Cricetulus griseus: one gene and its partner. The protein of the gene in region 2 purifies or fractionates together with the protein of the main gene of each other region. This does not show direct contact. Links are inferred from orthologs where the notes say so. Each region holds a gene or a part of one and is shown on either strand. Other genes may lie near its edges.

Region 1 (5,415 bases), on a different chromosome or scaffold from region 2:
AAGCTTCTATAGCCGCTTCCATGGAATGTTCCTACAGAATGCGAGTCAGAAGGACATCATTGAGCAGCTGCAAACAACGCAGACCATCCAGGACATTCTGTCAAACTTTCAGCTTCGTGCATTCCTGGACAACAAATATGTGGTCCGTCTCCAGGAAGATAGCTACAACTACCTTATCCGCTACCTCCAAAGCGATAACAACACTGCCCTGTGCAAGGTGCTTGCCGTGCACATTCACTTGGACGTGCAGCCTGCCAAGAGGACAGACTACCAGCTATATGCCAGTGGCAGCTCCTCCCGCAGTGAGAGCAGCGGCCTGGAGCCACCAGATGTGCCCAACCCTATTCTGCAGAATGAGGCTGCCCTGGAAGTCTTGCAGGAGAGTATCAAGCGGGTCAAGGATGGACCTCCCTCCCTCACCACCATCTGCTTCTATGCCTTCTATAACACAGAGCAGCTGCTGAATACTGCAGAGATCTCCTCTGATAGCAAGCTTCTGGCTGCTGGGTTTGACAACTCCTGCATAAAGCTCTGGAGCTTGCGGTCCAAAAAGCTGAAATCAGAGCCCCACCATGTGGACACATCCCGTATCCGTCTAGCTTGTGACACTCTGGAGGAGGAGGTAGGGGTGCCATTTATTCTTTCTTGTAAATCCTTCCTATTAGAGTGTTCATTCTAAACCTGACCTCTCACCAAACAGTACTCTGTAGTCCCCTTCCTAGGCAGCCAAAGCTGGATTCATGCCAGATGATATAGCCATTGAGTCCCACTCATGCCTGATAAATGCACATTAAACCCTTCTCCCAATACTCAACATTATTTATGAGTGGACAGTGTTTACCACTGTCTGAAAAGCAGGTGCCATCATTGAGCCTAACAGATCTTCAGCTGATACTGACTTAGGGATCACATTACATGTCTGTTGTTGTATGCTCTCAAATGTGTACTGTGCAGGTTCAAATAGTGAGAAACAGCATTGGTAGTTAGGGGGTCCACATTTAAACAGTAGTGAATATTGTCTTCCCCTGCAGAAATCTAGGCTGTTTCACAGCCTTGTCCAAAATAAGGACACTGATGTACTGTGTGTCTAGCTCTGTATGCCAAGAGTAGTCTCAGCCCCACTTTGAAAACAGACATGGATTGTAGAACTCTGGTGTCTTCTCAGTCAGTGCAATAACCTGTTGTCAGGTGGAGTGGCTAATCTGGGATGGCCAGTGACCTGAGTTTCAGTTACCAGAGTCACTACTGTATAAAAACTTGGGCTGAGAGAGTTAGCCTTCATGATCAGCATTTCTTGAGCACCCAAATGCTTTTGCATTTCTAATTTGAAGTGTCTGCAGTAGCCATTTTGAGTATTTGTAGACAGACACCAGTGTTTTAACTCCCTCAAGTTTTGTGCACATTGAAAGCAGTTATTTTGCTTTGACTTAGAGTTTTCTAGTAGAAAAAACAGTGCCTACTAAAAAGGTGTTCTTTTCCTGTGCAGTAACCAGCAAAGCTGAGTGTTAAGGAATCTTGATTGTCTTCTAGTGTTACCCATTGTAGTGGAGAGTCACACCTGTATGTTCAGGAGCTTCCCTGTGAGGGAATAGAGGGGAAATGGACTGATAGCCTGCAGCCTTGTGGGAAAGGGCTGTGGGAGCACACTTTATCTCCAAGTGCTATTGTGGACATTTCCTCTGTTTTTTTTTTTTTTTTCCAAAGGTGACATGAGTCACTGGGCTCTATTGTAAGCTTCCCCCCTCCTCACTCTCACTCTCTATGTTAGACCAGGCTGTCCTCAAACTTGGAAACCTAGCTGCCTCTGCTTCCTGAGTGCTGGAATCAAAGGTATGCGCCACCATGCCTTACTGTCTTTCTCAGTCTATGGTTTACTTTAGGAGATACGGATGAGACTCTCCCTTCCTATCCTTTTTTTTGTTTTGTTTTTTTGTTTTGTTTTACTGCACCCCCACCCCCAAGTCTATGTAATATCAAAATCTTGATGGTCCTCCTGAGTCCTGGCACTGTAGACATAAGTCACCATATGCAGCTTTTATCTGTCAGTGTTCATGGTCTATTGGTAGCTGTATTCTCTGACTCAAAGTTCCTATGCAATTTTGTTTTGGCTCAGGTTCTTGAGATTCTTCTAAAGCAGATCTTCCTGCTTTAGCTTTCTTGGTACTGTAATCACAGTGTATACTACCGGGCCTATCTCTAGATTTCATTAAATGTAATAGAAATGGAATAACTTGGCTACAAAATGATAAGAGCTGATGGCTGAAGAGAGCTCCATTAAGGAGAATCTATGAACTTTATATAAATTCAGAAGTCAGTGTTTTCAAAAGAATGAATAGTAGATGTCCCACAGGCTTGCCTTTCAGTCATATCCTCATTCGAAAATTAAGACTCACAAAAAGTATTTATCTTCAGTCTGATGTGGCCTATGGTTGGGCATGGTCAGCTGGAGTGGCCATGAAGGGCACACCCTCTGACAGGCCCTGCTCTCTACCTTTCCTCTTTCAGACTTATATTTCTTTTTTTGTTTGTTTGTTGGGTTGGGTTTTGGGTTTGGTTGGTTGGTTTGTTTGTTGTTTTTCGAGACAGGGTTTCTCTGTGTAGCTTTGGAGCCTATCCTGGCACTCTCTCCGTAGACTAGGCTGGCCTCAAACTCACAGAGATCTGCCTGCCTCTACCTCCTGAGTGCTGGAGTTAAAGGCGTATGCCACCAATGCTCAGCTCAAGCTTATATTTCTTGTGAGACCACTGAATATTTTCTTCTTGTGTGTTTTACCACCCCACCCACCATGTTCCAGGAGAGTGAGGAGGATAATACAGGCACAGAGATGAAGATCCTGCGAGGACACTGTGGCCCAGTGTACAGCACAAGGTTCCTCGCAGACAGCTCGGGGCTGCTCTCTTGTTCTGAAGATATGTCCATCAGGTACTGGGACCTAGGGAGCTTCACCAACACTGTGCTGTATCAGGGACATGCCTACCCTGTATGGGATGTGGACATCAGCCCCTACAGCCTATATTTTGCCAGTGGGTCCCATGACCGTACTGCCAGGCTGTGGTCTTTTGATCGGACGTACCCGCTGAGGATATATGCAGGACACCTGGCTGACGTGGACTGTGTCAAATTCCACCCCAATTCAAACTACTTGGCAACAGGTTCCACTGACAAAACTGTCCGGCTGTGGAGCGCCCAACAGGGGAACTCAGTGCGGCTATTCACGGGTCACCGAGGTCCCGTGCTTTCCCTTTCCTTTTCTCCCAACGGTAAGTACTTGGCATCCGCTGGTGAGGACCAGCGGTTAAAGTTGTGGGACTTGGCCTCTGGGACGCTTTTTAAAGAACTGAGAGGCCACACGGACAGTATCACCAGTCTGGCCTTTAGCCCAGACAGCGGTCTGGTTGCCTCTGCCTCCATGGACAACTCTGTACGTGTCTGGGACATCAGAAGCACGTGCTGCAACACACCTGCTGATGGCTCTTCGGGTGAGCTCGTGGGCGTGTACACTGGACAGATGAGCAATGTCTTGAGTGTACAGTTCATGGCCTGCAACCTCCTCCTGGTGACTGGAATCACACAAGAGAATCAAGAACATTAATTTTTTAATTCAGGTGGCAGACTTGGTGGGGCTGGAAAACTGGTCACAGTCCAGGACTTGCTAAAACTGAATCAGTGATTGCAAAAGAGCCCTCCCCTACCCCACACTCACCCAACACAGCTCTGGTGCACAAGACTCCAGTTGAGAGCTGTATGCTCAGGCTTGATGCCTCCTGGCTCTATGCAGGCACCTTGCTTTTGCATTTCCCTCTTCCCAGTAGGGTTACTGGAACAGTTGCAGAACTCCTCTGTAGCAGCTGTAGACAGTGTCTCCTGTGGCTACCCCTCAAGGGAAGTGGTGACAGGGACTAGGAAAGGAAGGGATGATCTAGCAGTCTTTCTTTTCCATAATGATAGAACCAGGATTTTTTATTATTATTAATAATAATTATTATTATTGAGGAGGAAACCTAGCATTGGCAGAGGTGTCTCTGCTTCTGTCTGCAGGTTTGACTCCTGGCACTGGCTATGATACTTGGAATTTTGAGGTTCAGGGAATTCAGACTTTGGTAGCCATGTATCAGGAGAAAGGGGTACCATATAATGTGCTTTTGCAAGCAGGCAGGTAGCTTAACTGAACATTGAGCTCTTGCAGTGATGGTGGGAGAGAAAGATTCTTTTACTGGCTGCACTCTGTCAGTACTTCTCTACCCTAGAAGAAATATTATGGTGGGCAGAGGATGGGCCTCAGCACTTGAGTCGATTGTCCAAGGTTCCATCCCTAGCACCATCAACAAAATTATGATAAAGAATAATTTTGAATAAATCTCAAAATAGGCTTAAAAGCTGGATTTCCAGATGACTGTTTATTCTGAGATGTGGCTTTTTGGTGTCTTTTTCTCCCTCAATGATCTGCTTCCACCCCTCACTGCAGTACCAGTATAGTGAACACAGGAATGAATCATGAGTGCACACTCAGCAAATATCAAACCATGTTTTAAGGACAAAGGAAGTTCTAATGTGTGGAAACGGATTAAATATTTCTGTTTTCTGAAAAGAGTTATTTTGTATTTTGTTTTCTATTAAAATGTATTTAGTTTCAAAAAAATAAGTGTGGCATCTCATTTATACTCTCAGAATACTTGTATCACTGGTCCTTCAGAGTAGTGACCAGAGCATAGGCAAGATCGGCCACAAAGCAGGTATGGTGGTCTGTTTTTGTATTCTTCTGAATTTACTTTTCATCATGTTCTTCCTGGCATCCAGTTGGATTACCAACAGCAGTAAAACATCCAATGTTGCTACCTGTTGATGAGAGATGAACATCTCTTTAGGAGGATCCCCACTTTAGCTTCCTTGAAAAAAATCACATTGTAGCTGGATGTGTTGGTGCACATCTTTAATCCCGACACTTGGAAAGCCAATAGTGTGGCAGCTGCCCAAGTCACCCCAGTAAAACCTGTTCATCAAGCTGGACTTGAATAGTTTCTTCTGGACTGTCATTGTTCTCTCAGGACTGAAGAGAAATACTCTCAGGAAGAGACAACACACTGTGAAACACTGGGTCTTCATTAAACATTCATAAAGCATGGTTAAAATCATCATTAGCATTAATTAGTGTTAAAATCCTTAAGTTCTAATTTGCTCATTTTTGAGCAAATTTGAGCATCATTCTAATGATGCTCATTTTTCTGTCAATAAGATGTTGATAGGAAAATTTGACTTCCTTATTGATAGCTATTGGACTCTCTTGCCACCCTAGCTACCTTGAGCAAAAGGACTGTCAGCCTAACAGCCAGCAAGACTATACTTATGCCAGCACTGCTGTTTTTAACACATTACACATGCCTTGAAGAAACCACACAACTACATCTATTTCTTTG
Region 2 (5,415 bases):
TTCCAGAGGACCCAGTTCAATTCCCACCACCCCCACATGGCAGCTCACAGCTGTCTGTAACTCTAATTACAGGGGATCTGATGCCCTTACACATACACATATAGGAAAAACACCCATGTACATAAAATACAAATAAATAAATCATTAAAAAAATGTCTGACCCCTGCATTCAGGAAACCCTATAGATGTGCCCCAGCCCTTTGCCTGCTCTATTCTCAGTGGAAGTAGCTGGCCCTTCCCAAGTGTGCTTTGTCAAAGGCCTCTGCTCTGCAGACTGGCAGCACAGAGTCAGTGCTTACTAAGGCGTCCTTGATCTCACGATAGCTGCACTTGTGTTGTGCCTATCCGTGTCTATCCCTAAGCAAAGTGATGTCTCCTTGTTCAGGCTTGTCTCAGCACCTGGTGTCTCAGTGGCCTCAGAGCATGTATCAGAGCAGAAATAACTTTTCCCATCCCAGAAATGGGATGCCCTGCCCAGAAGCCAGCAGGCTGGCCTCATTCCTTTCAGTGATCTTTTACTAGTGTGCATCCAGACATCTTTGCTCTTGTGTTGTCACGGCTGCCTGGCCACAGCCCAGGGTTGAGCAGTGGACAGAGTTACACAGTGGCCTTGTAACTAAAATGATTCAACTGCCGTTTCCAGAACAAGCTTGCCAATTCTTGTCCTAGTCCAGCCCATTACTAACACCTGCAGTTACTGGTGACTGAGACTGAAGATACGTAGGGGCGGACAAGTGAAATTGTCAGAGGTCACAAGGGAAAAGAAAACATGCTGGGAAGTGAATGCTGGAGTTCACTGCTTTCAACTAGCTATTACTTTGTGACTAATTCATCTCTCTTGGATTATTTTTAAACCAGGGCTTAGTAAGATATACACAGTAAAACTTGCTAGCATAGCTGAGCGTTGGTGGCGCACGCCTTTATCAGGAGGCAGAGGCAGGTGGATCTCTGAGTTCGAGGCCAGCCTGGTCTCCAGAGCGAGTGCCAGGATAGATTCCAAAGCTACACATAGAAACCTTGACTCAAACAAAACAAAACAAAAAACAAACAAAAAAAACTTGCTAGCATATAGATTTGTGAGTTGACAAATGCTTAACACCTCTACCCTCATACCTTTCTGAAGCCAAGCCCCCTGCTCCTGGTGACACAGGTTTCTGTCCCCTGAATTCCCATTCCTGTGTACCTGGTATGGATGGATGTGTGGCAGGTGTCCCAGTGTTGTGTATGTGCAATACTCCACCACCCTTGTTAGGTTTGTCCGTGTGGTACATTAAGGTCCATGTGTGGCATTTGCATCAGCCCTCCTACCGAAGAATGCTCTGTTGTATAGTGGCCACACTGCAGTTGGAGCTGCCTGGCTCAAACACTTTTGTGTGGTTTCCAGTTTTTGGTCACTGATGTAATGAATTCCACACCTGCCATGGGATAGTTTAATACACACACTTCATAAATTACCTTCATAGTACACATTGAGGTTTTATTTATTTATTTATTTATTTATTTATTTATTTATTTATTTATTTATTAGACCTGGGTCCTATCTTGTAATATGCCTCATTTGCAAATATTCTAAAATCTTAGACACTTCTGGTTCCAAACCTTTTGGGTGTTCAACCTGGCCCAAGAAACTTGCTGAGACTATTTTGGTGGCTTGACTCACTGCAAACAGAGAAATGGGTGGAAGATTGATGTCAGCTTTTTGTTGGGTTTCTGCTACACACTGTTGTTGCTAATACATGAAAACAGATGGTTTGCAACTCTAAATTAGTTTAATGCATGGCTTTATGGGTCATGACAAACTGGAGGTCACAAATACGGATCATCTTTGAGTGCACGCAATAAGTAATAATAATAAATAATAATAATCTGAAAGAATAACAACCAAAACTTCCAGGTCCAAGTAGGTGCCAATTCTGAGGTGTTTCTGACCGGACTTGCCAAGGTTGTGTTGTGTGACTTCACCACAGCCTTGGTTTTAAACATACCACACACACTGTTTCATGTGTGCCAGAGCCAGTTAGTGCTGCCTGAGACACCTCATTGACAAGGATGTTGTGTGATTTTACTATATATGCAAAGTCTTCTGCTCTTACAGAAATGTAGTGGTGTTGTTACAGAAGACAACGACATTGAGTATTTTCCTACCATCATTTTCTCAGCATGTAAATATATCTTCATATAACTTTAGATTCTGATGTTGAATGTTTGGTTTTAAAAATTGCTGTTTGCTGGCTTGAGTTTTGTTTTTCTTGTTGCTATAAAAAGGCTTAGAATTAAAACAGGACTTCCCAGTTTCTGAAAATGGCCTTAAATATACTTACTCTCATTGTGTACTTGAATTTCCACAAAGTGGCTTCTCAGGCAAAGGGGTGACAAATGAAAAAGTGCAAGAAACCTCATCTAATGATGAACTTGGGAAATGCATTCAGGTATAAGAGATAGCAGGTGCTCTGTGTAAGGCAAACATTGCATAGAATGAATCACTTGATTTTGCTTTTTATTGTGTGGGCTAACAGCAAAAATAAAGTGGAGAAAAGTGAGAGTGAAATCTAGAAAGTCCAAATAAAAATACAATTTGCAGGGCTAGAGGGATGGCTCAGCAGTTAAGAGCACTGGCTGCTCTTCCAGAGGTCCTGAATTCAATTCCTAGCACCCAGATAGTGGCTCACAACCATCTGTAACTGTAGTCCCATGGGATCAGATGCCCTCTTCTGGTGCACAAATTACATGCAGACAAAACACTCTTATATATAAAGTACATAAATAAATCTTCTTTAAAAAATCAGTTATGAAAAGAAAAACAATGCCAGGTGGTGGTGGTTGCAAGCCTTTAACCCCAGCATTCAGGAGTCAAAGGCAGGTGGATCTCTGAGTTCAAGGCCAGCTTGGTCTACACAGTGAGTTCCAGGACAGCCAAGGCTATTTATTATGCAGAGAAACCCTGTCTCCAAGGACAGACGGACATTCGGTCAAACTACCCAGTCTACAGCTGTGGATTTTTTGGAGGGTGATGAAGACTTGCAGGTGTCCTAGTTGTCCCTTTTCCTTCTCTCTAAACAGTTTTACTCGGGGCACCGCTCCCCGCACATTCCGTACAAGCTGCTGCACCTGGTGTGGACGCACGCCCGGCACCTGGCAGGTTATGAGCAGCAGGACGCACATGAATTCCTCATTGCAGCCCTGGACGTCCTCCACCGGCACTGCAAAGGTGGGCCTGCCACCATCTCCCTGCTGGGCTGGGACAGGCGGAGAGTTCCCTTAAAAGTGGATCAGAGCAAGGCTAGTGCTCACCCAGGCAACTGTAGGAGAATGCTTGATTTGTTTTGGAGACAGTATAGTCAGGTTCTATTTCCACTAAAGAAAATGGCATGGTTTCTTCTAATGAGTTCTTCACAGTTTGTTTTGTTAATACCAACTGATTTTTTATATTTTTGGAGGCAGGGTCTCCCTGTGTAGCTACTGCTGGCCTAAAGCACTGGCCCCCTTGTCTCAGCCTCCTGAGTGCTGAGATTATAGGTGTGAGCCTCTGTACAAGAATAGTGGTCCCAGGGCTAGTGTGCTGACAGTTCTATAATCCTAAGACCCAGGAGGCAGAGGCAGGCAGATCTCTGCAAGTTCAAGGCCAGCCAGAGCTACCTTACCCTGGCTCAGGAAAGAAAGAAAAGGAAGAGTGACATGCCCCACCCCATCCCTGCTACCAGATAAATCTAAAAGCCTTCACATGCCTCATAGAGTGTTGGTGCTCCTGGTGTCCTCCTGTCTCTGCTGGGTGATGTGGACTTGCTGACTGCTTTGTACTGTCTTGGTGACATTACTAATGGTAATCACACTTTGTCCTCAGGTGATGACAATGGGAAGAAAGCCAACAACCCTAACCACTGCAATTGCATCATCGACCAAATCTTTACGGGTGGGCTCCAGTCTGATGTCACATGCCAAGTCTGCCAGTAAGTGCTCCCATCATCTGACGGTCAGTAGGCATGCTTTAATCTGCCTTGGCTGTGCCATATCCTGGTGCATTTCCCAGTCAGCAAGGGAAAGTCTTGTTTGGACTTCAAGCCTTTATAAAGCTCAGCACCGCCCTAGAGAAGACTCCCTGAGTTCTGTGGTGTTTGTAGTGAAGCACTTACACTAGTTTCAGGTGAGGGACAATTTTATTTAAACAGCTATGCTCTGGTCATTTGACATACAATGCCTCTGCTAGAAAAGACACAAGGAAGCAACAGATGGCCTGAATCTGAAGGCTGGGAGCTCTTCCCTTGGGGACTTGTAGAGTTTTGTTCTGCTGGCAATTAGCAGGGTGTCCTCGGCAGCTTCATACATGTTTTTCTGCTTTTCTTATAGTCTTCAAGACTAAGAGCCAAAGCAAATAGCCCCTTCATGTGGCAGGTCATTGCCTTCCATGCTCCAGGTGTGAATTGGCTCCTTTTCCACTTGCTGACATAAAGCCACAGTGGTTTCCAGGTGTAGCCATTGCTGAGTGCTTCCCCTCCAGAAGCAGAAAGGATCCTTTTGCAGTGACTGGAGAAGTCCTCACCCCATCCTGGTGTGCCTGGTGTTTGCTCCACTGGCTCACCCCAGGCATGCTGCTGTTCTTACTCTACCCCTGGATTTGAAAACCCTGGTCACCATCCCCCCCCAGTGCTCACCTGTACTCTGGACAGGGTTCAAGACCGGGATGCAGGAATCTAGGGGTGCTCCTATGGTTTTCCAGGCGCAGAGCTCCTTTCAGACTTTGTCTTTGAGCAATGTAGAATTCCTCCCTCCCTGGACTTTAACTACTGTGCTCTGTTAGCAAGAGGTAGCCTTGAATTTTTGGTCCATTTCTGAACCCAATTTACTATTCTGAATTTCCTCGATTTAATATTGTGATGTAAACCTCCTGGCAGGAAGGAGTCAATGTAGTTGGAGGTTTCTCATCCCACCCTCCAGTTCCCAGATAACGTTGTTAAATGCAGTGGTCCTTGTTTGTGGGACTACCAAGTTTGGCCTGTGTACTGTGGATGGGGGTTTCCTTGGTGATTTCGCCTATGTGGGGCACCTAGTTTCTGAGTAGTGTTGCTGCAGTTCCTAAGTATTGTAAGCTGGATCCCAGCACGCTGAGCTCTGCCTGTAACTCAAGGCTTTATACTCTGCCAGACTCGCCAAATAAAATCATTACTGTGGACATTCCTGTTCTATCCTGAGGCATTTGGTGGGCAGATGGGCAGAGCAGGCAGCATGTTCGGCCTATCTCTAGGGGCTGCCTCAGGCCATGGTACACACCAGTCCTCATGTGCTCTCATGTGTTGTCTCTTCTGCAGTGGCGTCTCAACCACCATAGACCCCTTCTGGGACATCAGTTTAGACCTGCCTGGTTCTTCCACCCCATTCTGGCCCTTGAGCCCAGGGAGTGAGGGCAGTGTGGTTAACGGG

Evidence for each region. The genes of interacting proteins can lie anywhere in the genome.
Region 1: the proteins of ubiquitin carboxyl-terminal hydrolase 22 (region 2) and Taf5l purify together in Homo sapiens (affinity purification with mass spectrometry; 3 studies listed by BioGRID and IntAct, with this or other methods). This does not show direct contact. The link is inferred for Cricetulus griseus from reciprocal best matches to the Homo sapiens genes USP22 and TAF5L.

What each region holds. Positions count from the first base shown.
Region 1 is NC_048596.1:200,680,820-200,686,234, reverse strand, and holds the end of Taf5l (TAF5-like RNA polymerase II p300/CBP-associated factor-associated factor 65 kDa subunit 5L), read left to right. Parts: coding exon 1-622; intron 623-2,795; coding exon 2,796-3,593; 3' UTR 3,594-4,640; downstream 4,641-5,415. UniProt on the Homo sapiens protein: Functions as a component of the PCAF complex. The PCAF complex is capable of efficiently acetylating histones in a nucleosomal context. The PCAF complex could be considered as the human version of the yeast SAGA complex.
Region 2 is NC_048600.1:75,147,711-75,153,125, reverse strand, and holds part of ubiquitin carboxyl-terminal hydrolase 22, read left to right. Parts: intron 1-3,060; coding exon 3,061-3,208; intron 3,209-3,841; coding exon 3,842-3,947; intron 3,948-5,303; coding exon 5,304-5,415. UniProt on the Homo sapiens protein: Deubiquitinase that plays a role in several cellular processes including transcriptional regulation, cell cycle progression or innate immunity.